Linked DNA regions of Xenopus tropicalis. The main gene of each other region encodes a partner of the protein of the gene in region 3 in a complex. Links are inferred from orthologs where the notes say so. Each region holds a gene or a part of one and is shown on either strand. Other genes may lie near its edges.

The links.
Region 1: the proteins of flna (region 3) and itgb3 are in contact, whole or in part, in an NMR structure (PDB 2MTP), measured with the Homo sapiens proteins. The link is inferred for Xenopus tropicalis from reciprocal best matches to the Homo sapiens genes FLNA and ITGB3. Residues at the interface, in NP_001104026.1 of Homo sapiens: Gly2236, Arg2264, Ala2268, Gly2269, Gly2270, Leu2271, Ala2272, Ile2273, Ala2274, Val2275, Glu2276, Gly2277, Pro2278, Ser2279, Lys2280, Ala2281, Ile2283, Phe2285, Asp2287, Gly2291; in NP_000203.2 of Homo sapiens: Lys742, Ile745, Thr746, Pro771, Leu772, Tyr773, Lys774, Glu775, Ala776, Thr777, Ser778, Thr779, Ile783, Tyr785, Arg786, Gly787, Thr788.
Region 2: the proteins of flna (region 3) and itgb2 are in contact, whole or in part, in a crystal structure (PDB 2JF1), measured with the Homo sapiens proteins. The link is inferred for Xenopus tropicalis from reciprocal best matches to the Homo sapiens genes FLNA and ITGB2. Residues at the interface, in NP_001104026.1 of Homo sapiens: Val2241, Thr2263, Ala2266, Gly2267, Ala2268, Gly2269, Gly2270, Leu2271, Ala2272, Ile2273, Ala2274, Val2275, Glu2276, Gly2277, Pro2278, Ser2279, Lys2280, Ala2281, Ile2283, Phe2285, Phe2311; in NP_000202.3 of Homo sapiens: Leu753, Phe754, Lys755, Ser756, Ala757, Thr758, Thr759, Thr760, Val761, Met762, Asn763.

Annotation. Positions count from the first base shown.
Region 1 is NC_030686.2:15,369,025-15,372,777, forward strand, and holds the start of itgb3 (integrin beta-3), read right to left. Parts: upstream 2,492-3,753; 5' UTR 2,333-2,491; coding exon 2,272-2,332; intron 858-2,271; coding exon 772-857; intron 1-771. UniProt on the Homo sapiens protein: Integrin alpha-V/beta-3 (ITGAV:ITGB3) is a receptor for cytotactin, fibronectin, laminin, matrix metalloproteinase-2, osteopontin, osteomodulin, prothrombin, thrombospondin, vitronectin and von Willebrand factor.
Region 2 is NC_030685.2:55,155,933-55,159,585, reverse strand, and holds part of itgb2 (integrin beta-2), read left to right. Parts: intron 1-2,482; coding exon 2,483-2,653; intron 2,654-2,878; coding exon 2,879-3,120; intron 3,121-3,653.
Region 3 is NC_030684.2:31,813,227-31,816,879, reverse strand, and holds part of flna (filamin-A), read right to left. Parts: intron 3,630-3,653; coding exon 3,501-3,629; intron 3,417-3,500; coding exon 3,243-3,416; intron 2,853-3,242; coding exon 2,691-2,852; intron 2,489-2,690; coding exon 2,285-2,488; intron 2,086-2,284; coding exon 1,933-2,085; intron 1,794-1,932; coding exon 1,671-1,793; intron 1,380-1,670; coding exon 1,113-1,379; intron 967-1,112; coding exon 829-966; intron 527-828; coding exon 411-526; intron 1-410. UniProt on the Homo sapiens protein: Promotes orthogonal branching of actin filaments and links actin filaments to membrane glycoproteins. Anchors various transmembrane proteins to the actin cytoskeleton and serves as a scaffold for a wide range of cytoplasmic signaling proteins.

The DNA.
Region 1 (3,753 bases), on a different chromosome or scaffold from region 3:
CCCCACGTGAAATACAGACCCAGGGAAACATTGCCTTTTTAGGAGAGTCTGAGGGGAATCTGGAAAGGAAGGCCGGGCTCCTTATGGGCGAAAAGGCACTGAAGTCACCAGACAGCGCAGCTAGAGGAAAGATTCCTTTAACTTATTATGCTGGGGGTTGTAGTTCAGAAAAACCCTGGCAGAAGGCAGAGGCCTAAATGTGGCTTTCCCTTGTCTCAAACACCCAATAAATACCTCTGGGGATGCTGAGGGATATAGATAAAAATGTTCTTATTCTGAAACAGTGCCTGTGCCCGTCTGAATGAATTAGTGGTGCATTATAACAGGGCAGTGTCCCAGGGCCCATGGAGTCGAGGAGCTAAACACCATTTAGGCATATAATTTCATTATATAATATAATCACAGCTAATCAGGTAGCAGCGCTGCGGTCTAATGAGAAGCTCAATATTTCCCTGTTGCAATGAATTTCCCAGGGGTCCCACAGCTTGAGAACTGTCCAAGGGCCCAAGGTTCACTTAATCCACATCTGGAGTGAACTATAACTCCCATCAGCCTCAATCAGACTGAGCAGCTAGGGATAAGGCTGTGATTTAAGAAAGCCAGAGTTTGGTCCTGGTTACCTTTGCTAAGTCATTTAGGCTTTTGGTCTATTAAATGCACCCTTATATGTGTGTGGGTTGCCTCCCCAGAAGGGCAGCAACTTAGCAGCTTGGAATGTGGAAGAAAAACTCAATGGCAACTCATGTTAGGAGACTGGATAAGTGGCCTTACCTCTTGGGAACACCATGCACATTGTGGGTTCACAGCAAGGCATTTCTGGCAAGAGGTTACCCCACGAGTGGCACAGATACTGGCACCTGAAATGAACACAGTGCATCCAAACTGAGCAACGATTTCCTGTACCCACTGTAGTACTGCAATTGTAACACTTTGATATAGATGACGGCCAATAAGAACAATTAGCAAATTAAAGGGAATATAAACCACTAAATGTATTGATGTGAACATACCCAGAATGTTAATCAGAGCACTTTTGCAATTTTATATTGTTATTATTATTATTATTATTATTATTATTTATTTATTATTGGCTTAACTACTCATTTGCAAAGTCAGAGCCCCACATTGAAAGAGAGCTGTTTAGCCAATACTGATCTGTCTTTCAGTCTGTATGTTTATGCCTATCTATCTATCTATCTATCTATCTATCTAGCTATCATCTATATATCTATCATCTATCTATCTATCTAGCTCTCTATCTATCTATCTATCTATCTATCTATCTCTCTATCCATCTATCTATCATCTATCTATCTATCTATCTACCTGTCTGTCCATCTGTCTGTCTATTCCTATCTATCTATCTATCTATCTATCTATCTATCTATCTATCTATCTATCTATCATCTATCTATCTATCTATTATCTCTCTATCTATCATCTCAGTCTGTTTATTTGTTATTCTATCTATTTTAAACTTGTGTACAAAGCAAGCCCACATGGGGATATTACATTATACACAGGGTGGATACGACCCCTGTGCTTTTGTTTCATTGACTCACAGCAGAAAGTATGCAGAATGAGATAAGGCGTGAGAATGGAAACTACATTGTATATACAGAGTTAAATCTTACAGGAGGGAAGTAGAGGCAGTATAAATGGCATTATACTGGCATATAAAAATGATTAATTAGAAATTACAGAAATGACAGAAACTGATACCAAGTGAGACTTGAAGATGCAAGCATGGACTATTCCGAAATGACAAACAGACAGATGTGGAGGGAGATAGACAGAGACAGATTAAGCTGACGAAGATTGGAGAGACATAGCATGATAAAGACAGACATAGTAAGAGATAGTCAGACATGGTGAAAGGTACACAATATGAGAGACATACTGATGGATATAGCGAGTAATGGACAGACAGACATGGCGACTTGGCAAGGGAAACAAATGTGGTACATGACCGACAGATATTGTGAGTAACAGATAGGCGTGGTGGGTGACAGATAGTCATTGCTGATGACGGATATACCAGAGTGTGTGTGACTGAATGGGAGATGAAGTGAATGGCAGGCAGACTGGCCCACTGTGACAGACATACAGACAGATATAGTAAATGATAAGGCAAGAAGCAAACATGCACAGTATATAAAACAGACAGACCTAGAATGGCATACAGATTTAGTGACAGACAGCCATAGAATGAGAGCAACAGAAAGACAGACAGACAAGGTGACAGAGAGACAGACACATTGGGTAACTCACCCCAAGTTCCAGCTGTGAGCAGTAGAAGTTGCAGAATGCATATATACAGATCAGGCTTCATCTTCACAGTATGGCAGTGTCACCCAGCTGTGTCCAGTGGCGTATGGAGCAGGGGGTTGTGTGTGTGCTGGGGAGAAGCCTGGTCAGCTAGTCACAAACCCCCCTGCCACTGGCCAGTGAGTGAGCCAGCTGATAGGAACTAGTTAGCAGAATGCTAAGGACTCAAACCCCTATTCCCTGGCTCCTCCCTGCCCCATGTTCACACCCTGTAACTACAAACATTCCAGACAGACCCCATTCTTAACCCTCTCACTGCCACATTCCTGCCTAACACCCCACTTCTCTGTCCCTTACAGCATGTACAGGAAATAAATAACGCCTCACGTTTAGCCTTTCATGTGGGAAGCAGCAATGTCAACGGACACAGACACTGTTTATGTGTTGAACTTTAATTGAATATACAGCCTAGGGCTCACATGGCACAAGCACAAGCACAGAGATGCACACTAAAGCTATTTACAGAGGTGCTTTGCTCTTATATAAACTTCTTATAACCTTGGTATAACACCAATGCCCTGGGTCAGCCCGCTTGTACACAAGTGCAAAGTACAGTGCAGACATAAGGGAACCCTGGAATTATCACCCCTAGGGTTCCAGGGATTTAGCATGAGATTTCCTATGTCTATACAGGAATTTATTTTCCGACAAATGCTTAATTATAACTACGAGCACAGGTTATTCTTTCTATGCCTATTGTTTAAAAAAGGCTGACATTACTTTACCTAGGTGCTGGAACTGCTTAACCCATTCCTTTCCTGGTATTTATATAGTGAAACATTTTCAGAGGGCTTTACAGAGAGGCTATATCTTTCATATAAGTACCTGTTCCAGTGGAGCTTACAATTGAAGGTCCCTATCACATCCCTATCAGTCCCTGCCCCAGTGGAGCATACCATTCAAGGCTGTATGCTCCACTCCTATTCCCATCAGTCCCTGTCCCAGTGAGCTTACAATCTAAGGTCCCTATAGGCCCCCATACACGGGCCGACTATAGCTGCCGATATCGGTCCCTTGGACAGATTCGGCATCTAATCGGCCCATGTATGGGAAGAACAGAGCGGCCTGGCCGACCGATATCTGGCCTGGAATTGGCCAGATCTCGATCGGCCAGGTTAGAAAATCCAGTCGGATCGGGGACCGCATCGGCTCGTTGATGCGGTCCCCGAACCGACTGCCCCATAACCTCAAATGTAATCCGATCCCACCCACAGGTGGGGATATCGGGTGAAGATCCGCTCGCTTGGCGACATCGCCAAGCGAGCGGATCTTATAGTGTATGGGGACCTTATCACATTCCCATCAGTCCCTGTCCCAGTGGAGCTTACAATCTAAGGTCCCTATCACATTCCCATCAGTCCCTGCCCCAGTGAGCTTACAATCTAAGGTCGCTATCACATTCCCACCAGTCCCTGCCCCAGTGAG
Region 2 (3,653 bases), on a different chromosome or scaffold from region 3:
AAAAATATATTGCATAACCAAGCCCATATGGAAAACCCTGCTTCATCTAAATAAACCATTTTCATAAAAATATACTTTTTTAGTAGTATGTGCTTATTGGGTAATCCTAAATAGAATTTTTTTAAGAATTTAGGGATCATATGATTCACAGTGCACACAAACAAGCCAAGGTAGACATATATGCTGGCCATAGGGGGCGTGTAGGGGCAGATTCTCAGCCTGTGCTTACCCATGTATGCTCTGTGTGGCATTAGCCTAAATGCAAAATCTTTCCTTTGTCACTCTCTTTTTGTGCTGTTTACATAAAAAGCACTTGCAAAGCTTTGAATAAATGTGCATAAATATTGCATATACTGTATCTGCTAACAGAAAAAAGTCTTTTAGCTTGTCACAAAAGCTTTCCTCCCCTTCCCTTAGTCTCTTGTCATGCCTTCTTATAACTACAGTGGTCAGTGGTGTTTTGTCCTCCACATTTTTTTATTGAGGTAACTGGAATGCAGGGAAACATGTGCAGTTTAGTCAAAAACACACCACAGCCTTCCTATGCTATCAGTTGTTTCTTGCTTGTGGTTTTCTTGATTTCCACTCCACCTCTCAGTCTGTACTTTTTTCTATTTGTACTTTTAAGTATGGTTTGTATGCTTCTTGCTATAAAATGTACAGTATTTGCACCTTTTTCTTACATTTATTTCCTATTCCTCTCTCTCTTATCCTTTCTACAACACAATACATAGTCTCTTGTCTATGAAGATTCTCATTCATCCAGGTCATGATATACAGTATCTAGTAGAATTAAGTCTAAAACAACTGGACTTTTCTGAGTTTTTCTTGAAAACGTTTCACCGCTCATCCGAGTGGCTTCTTCAGTTCAAATGACTGGTAGGGAATTCCCCGGTATTTAAACTCTTGATGGTAGTAGAGTCACAGACATCCAATCACAATGGTTCCATTGAACTTGTTCAGTTAGGTGTTAGCTGAAACTGACAGGTGTAAGAAGGTATGATGGTACCAATGGTACCAAGATTCTCATTGATAAACTACCATCAAGAGTTTAAATACCGGGGAATTCCCTACCAGTCATTTGAACTGAAGAAGCCACTCGGATGAGTGGTGAAACGTTTTCAAGAAAAACTCAGAAAAGTCCAGTTGTTTTAGACTTAATTCTACTAGATACATAGTCTCTTGACTTTCAGCTACTAACTAGTCATGGGATTCAGGCCTGGACTGGCAATCTGTTGGTTTGGCAAATGCCAGAGGGGCTGTAACATGTAATTTACAATCTCTATTTAGTGGGCTGATTTAGTGGGCTGATGGTTGTTTGGGCTTTAAAATTACAGGGCCTATTAAATACCAGTCTGTTTAAATACCAGTCTGGTCCTAGTTGGGTTTAATATTTACATGTTTAGCAGAACCTGAAGAATCCACACAGAGATTTAAGCAGGGGCAGGCCAAGGCAGCTGGGCTCCCCCCCCCCTTCCTGCATGCAAACTGATGTTGTGGATGGAGGGGGAGCACGGTGACAAGCTAAAGCCGGGGGTAAGAGATCCCAGACTAGGGGTAGGCAGAAGAGGTATCTGCCTAGCCCCCCCCCCCACAAAAAATTTGCACCCTATGCAGGTGCCTCTTTTGTCTACCTCTAGTTCCGGCCCTGTATCTGAGACTGCAGGGTAGAACTTATCTTTATTGCTGGCTGTTCTCGCCACACACTCTACTCCTCCTTTTTCCGTATGCATAACCTTTGTCGTTAATCCACCCAGTGCTAAGCTGCTAATGCATATTAAAATAAACATTTAACATTCTTGCAGAAATAGATGGAACAACATTACATCAGATATTCAACCAGTGCCGTAACAGAGGAAGCAGACCCCACAGTCGCGGGGGGCCCGAGGCGCGGGGTCTGTTTCCTCCATTTAGCAGGTAAATCTCCGCTCCACGCCAGCTCCAAGGTAGTAGCGCGGGCAGGGAGTGGGGGTTTACAGGGCAGGCAGCGGAAGAGGCATCAGAGCTGAGGGACAATGCATCAGGGCAAGAGAGCCCAGTAAGTTTGCTACTACTGTGCAGGGCCCCTCTGAAGATTTTTTTGGAGGAGGTCCCAGAGCAGTAGAAGTAGTTACGCCACTTTATTCAACTTTATTGAATCGGGTCTTTAGTATTTCATCTTCCAGTGAATGGTGGCCCAATTTGATATCTGTACTGCCAAGGCCATTCTAGCTTAAACCACCAAGGTGGCTTTCATGATGCCTTGCCTTCCCGTGCCAACCGGAGGGGGTCTAGGGGGGCCACATCACTAGTACAGGAAGAACAATTGTACTAGAAGAGCAAAATTTCCAGTTTAAAAACTGGAAATTCAATTCAGGAGGGAATTTTTGCTACCTCTGGTATTCTGCAGGGTGCTGCCGCCATAGGGAGCTAAAGCCTATCATGAAATTGTAATACAAGGGGGAATAACATAATGTTTTTCACCAGGATTTTCATTTTACAGGCAAAGCTGCAGAATTTGACGTGACATTTAGAAGGGCTCAAGGATATCCAGTGGATCTCTACTACCTGATGGATCTTTCCTACTCTATGAATGATGATCTTCAGAATGTAAAGAATTTAGGAAGCAACCTCCTGGAAGCTTTGAACAAAATCACAACTTCAGCACAGATAGGTGATTATTTTATTGCTGTACTATTTTGCAAGTGGGTAAATGTGATACAGGTTTATTATATTTATTACTGCACAATCAATAACTGGTACACACTTGTCTCCAGAGAAATCTAGTACCCTTTGTACTAGAATCAGGGCTGTTTATAGTATTAAAGCTGCAATGTAGTGGAACTGCCACAAACCATAACTAATTATAGCTAACTGGGATAAAATGTGTTTTGCTAAGGTTTTGGTTCATTTGTGGATAAAACGGTGTTACCGTTTGTGAACACACACCCAGAGAAACTGAAGAACCCATGCCCAGAGAGGAATGAGAATTGTCAACCCCCATTTGCTTTCAAACACATTCTCAAACTCACAGAAGATGGAAAGCAATTTCAAGATCAAGTTGGGAAGCAGGGCATTTCTGGAAATCTAGATGCCCCAGAGGGAGGGCTTGATGCTATGATGCAAGTGGCAGTTTGTGGGGTAAGTAAAATAACTAGACTTTATTCAAAGCTTGGAGTTGACAACTCCCGTCTTCCAAAAATAGAGTGGAATAGACACCTGGATATTGCTTATTAATTGCATGCCTTCAGATTAGGTAGATGTAGGAGTTTATTTGACCTAATAAAATCTGCCAAAAGGAAAGAAGAGCTTAATAATATTTTATGCCTAATACTATGTATATGAAAAAGACAGGTTAAAATGTATCCATCTCCCAATATAACTGATGTTTTTAGACTTTGTGGGTTCAAGGTCCACCTTGAAGTCCAGCACTTAGTGAGGCTCCTCCTTAGCCATAACAGGGCTTCAGAAATAGGAAAACACTGCCATAACAGTCAACCTAATATCATTTTAGAGGTATCCACCAAAGCGAGTCATCATACACCCTCATCTATGGATGCTAGCCCCATGGTTTGGAGACCTCTGCAATTTAATAAATGATTGTGAATTTATATACATATTCTTAAATCAACACATACCTTTAAAAAAGTGATATTTACAAACATGTTCTGCAT
Region 3 (3,653 bases):
AGCCTTTAAGAGAGACACGAGAAAAACACATTGAGAGCCTCCTGAGCAAGCTGGGGGAATGGCATCACCATACAGAGAACACGTTGCAAAGACTTTTGGTAGGACATCTTTTGGTTAAGTAAAGATGGGCAGATTACAATGTAAACGGATTGCAAGAGTATTCTAAAAAAAATAAAAAAAAAAATGTTCCACCTATATATGTATTTCTGGAAATCCTACCTCCTACTAAAATGACTTCCAGATAAGGAGATGGGACAGAAGGAAGGAAGACATTAGGACCGTTGAATGCAGCCAGAAAAGGAAAACTTTTTTTTTTATATCAAAATGGAATGGGGGTACTAATCAGATGCTCAGGAGGTGAATTCTCTGCCCTTTCATGAGGCGGGCACAGGTTTCTCCCAGTGTCTCACCTGAAGACTAGAAACAGTAAGTCTCCGTGCATCATCTGATGTCGAACCCACTGGAACCACGAAGGGGCTGTCTGGTATGTGCTCATCATTAAACTTCACAGACACCTCATAATCACCTACAAAAAGGAAATACTGGAAATTAACAGACCGTATAAAGCTTCACATCTAACCTATCAAAATGTATCATTCTGGAATACTTGCAGTTATAAAATTTCTACTTGGGCAGGAAGAAATTTGTACTTAAAAATGGGGTTGGTCGTTCGCATTGAGACATTTGGAGCAGGGACCTCCCTATTATATTACATTTCTGTTCAATGAGGTCCAGAGAAAAAACATTTTGCATTCTACCCATATTTGCCAACCAAGGGAAGAAGAGAATATAGGTAGGTTCAGAACAATAGTAGTGAAACAAACATACCAGGCTCCTGCACAATGTAGGACACTCCACAAGAACCATCCTTTCTGTCCTCAAATGCAATCTCTGCTTTGCTTGGACCTTCCACTGCAATTGATAGACCACCAGCTCCTGCCTCTCTGGTCCAGATACTGAACTCCGCTATAAAGTAAAAAGTACAATACAGTTAACTAGGGGTCTGGCATCCATCCTATAATGTTGGAGCTGTAAAGAGCATTAAAAAAAAAAAAAATTAGATCCACCAATATTAACTCCAGCCCTTGGACACAAAAAACTTAAAATCATACCTGGTGTTCCAACCTCCGCTCTTTCCAGGCCAGGACCCCCAGCTCGTACTTTGTGGGCTCCTCCTTCACCCAAGGGGCCAACAGTGAACTGAAAGGGGCTTCCAGGCACATGCTGTCCCTTGTACTTAACACTGACTGTGTGGACGCCCATCTCAGAAGGAACAAATCGGATGCAGTAAGTGTTATTCTCGCTTTCCATTATTTCTGCATCATGAATCTTCCCTGAGGGACTAGTGACCTGGGCAGTCATGTCATGAATGCTGATCTCTGCAAGTGATAGGAAGCCAGTGAGTAAAACAGCAGGAGGAGTTCATGCATTATCTGACCAGGACTGACACAAACTGGCCCACAGGCTCCTTGACAATTTGCATCCCATTTATTCCTCTGCCTAAATAAAAACAGCCACAATGTGTAAAATCATCCCTCTACCACTTTTCGCCTTGAGAAGGCCATGACCCATCATAGCTCTTAATGTGTGTCAAACTCCTAATATGTTGGAGGACATTAATTAGCTGGCAGTCTAGACAATGAATTTCAGATCTTAGAACTACATCTTACCGGGTATTTTTAGGCTCAGATCACACTGGCTACCAATGTTTGCCACAGATGGAGCGGTGCGTCTTCGAGTGATACTCTCCTTCATTCTTCCTTCCCCAGTCACCTTGACAGAGAAGGGGCTGCCTATAAGGCAAAATAATGGCTTATGGAAACTGGCATAGATGGAGGTTATAGGACAGAGGGTGTTTTGGAATCAAAATGCAAAGAACCCAAATTCCCTTCCTCATCCCTGTAAAGTACCATCAGTGTTAATACTACGTACCAGGAACATGCTGATCAGCAAACTTTATGTTGATAATATAATTTCCAGGTTCAGTTGGGCAGTAAGTAACTTTGCATGTCCCATCTTCCAAGTCTTCTGTGTTGATATCCACTTTGCTGGGCCCCTCGATGGAAAGGCTAAGTCCACCATAACCTTTAGAAAAAAGGCAAGTAGGCAACAGTAGTAAAAGGCTGAGTATTAAAAAAAGTGATCAAACATAGACCAAAGTGTCATCCTGCTGACTTGGTTTTAGAACTGCTTCTACACCAACCATGTTGGTTATTGCAGACATCCAACAAAGAGGTTATTATATTTTCTGGTGGTGTATAAGAGGTGCTCTAATAAAAGGTACCTGCTTCCCTGGTGTCAATGATGAATTCTGCGGGCTCAAATGTCCTCCCTTCAGTCAGACCTTGACCAGACACTATCACTCGGCTGGCATCCCCGATTTCGGATTGGCTGATCATTACAGTGATTGGGCTGTTGGGGATGTGGATACCATTTTTTTTTATGCTAACAATGTGTTCGCCTGTCTCCTTTGGCACAAACGAGATGCCTACAAAAGAAGCAAGCAGATTAAAGAAGGTATAGGATTACAGAAAGAATTCATTAAATTGTATGTACAGTGAAAATGCCTTATGATTATTTAGAGCAAAGACCTTAAAAGGACATGTGTAGAGGATTATGATACCGGCACATAAATTAAATTAGACCAGATTTTCGGCATATTTAGTTCACCATGCATATATCATTCTTACCAACATGGCCGTTTCTGAGCCTCTTGAGCAGACATGGCTCCTCTCTTCCAGATGGAGAGGTCACTGTAGCAGTCAGCTGGCTCAGGTCTGTCTCTACAATGTTCAGGGGGATGTCTGCTGCAGACCCAACCTTCAGCTGGGACATACGCATAGAATCATCTCCTGTTTAAGAAAACACACAAATATCAGGTTTCAGAGCTTGTGCTATAGTTACAGGAAGCTTTAGGTCAGTGATCCCCAACAAGTGGCTCGTGAGAAACATGTTGCTTCCCAACCCTTTGGGTGTTGCTCCCAGTGGCCTCAAAGCAGGCGATTATTTTTAAATTTCTGGTAAGAAGGCAATCTTTGTTTGCATAAAATCTCAGTGTAATTGCCAAACAGAGCTTTGTGTAGATTTCCAGTCAACATAGGGGCTATCAAATAGCCTGTTATATATAAATAGCTCTCACTGGCACCTTAAGGAATATTTTTGATTTTTGTGTTGCTCCCCAAAACTTTTTGACTATAAAAGGTTGGGGATTTCTGCTTTATGTGATCACCAATACAACTTACCTGTTATTTTAGCAACAAATGGACTTCCCGGAATATGCTTGTTGTTATACTTGACTAGGATGTTGTAGTCTCCAGGGAGCACAGGGAGATAAGAAACTGTGCAGGTCCCATCCTGGTTATCTGTGCAGCTGATCTCTGCTTTGGAGGGGCCCTCAATAGCTAGTGACAAGCCACCTAGGAAACAAATAAAAGATTAGTCATGGCATTCAGTTCAGAGCTAGCATTCATGTTGGACAATGAAATGCATTAACTTTTCACCTTCTCCAGCATCCTTAGTGTTCACAGTGAAGACAGCAGGTTTATTCACTGTTCCATGAATCAAGCCTGGGCCATAGGCAGTAACATGGCCACTGTTTACATAATCCACATAAAACTGTAGGGGGCTTCCTATAAAGCAAGAGTTCTGGTTAA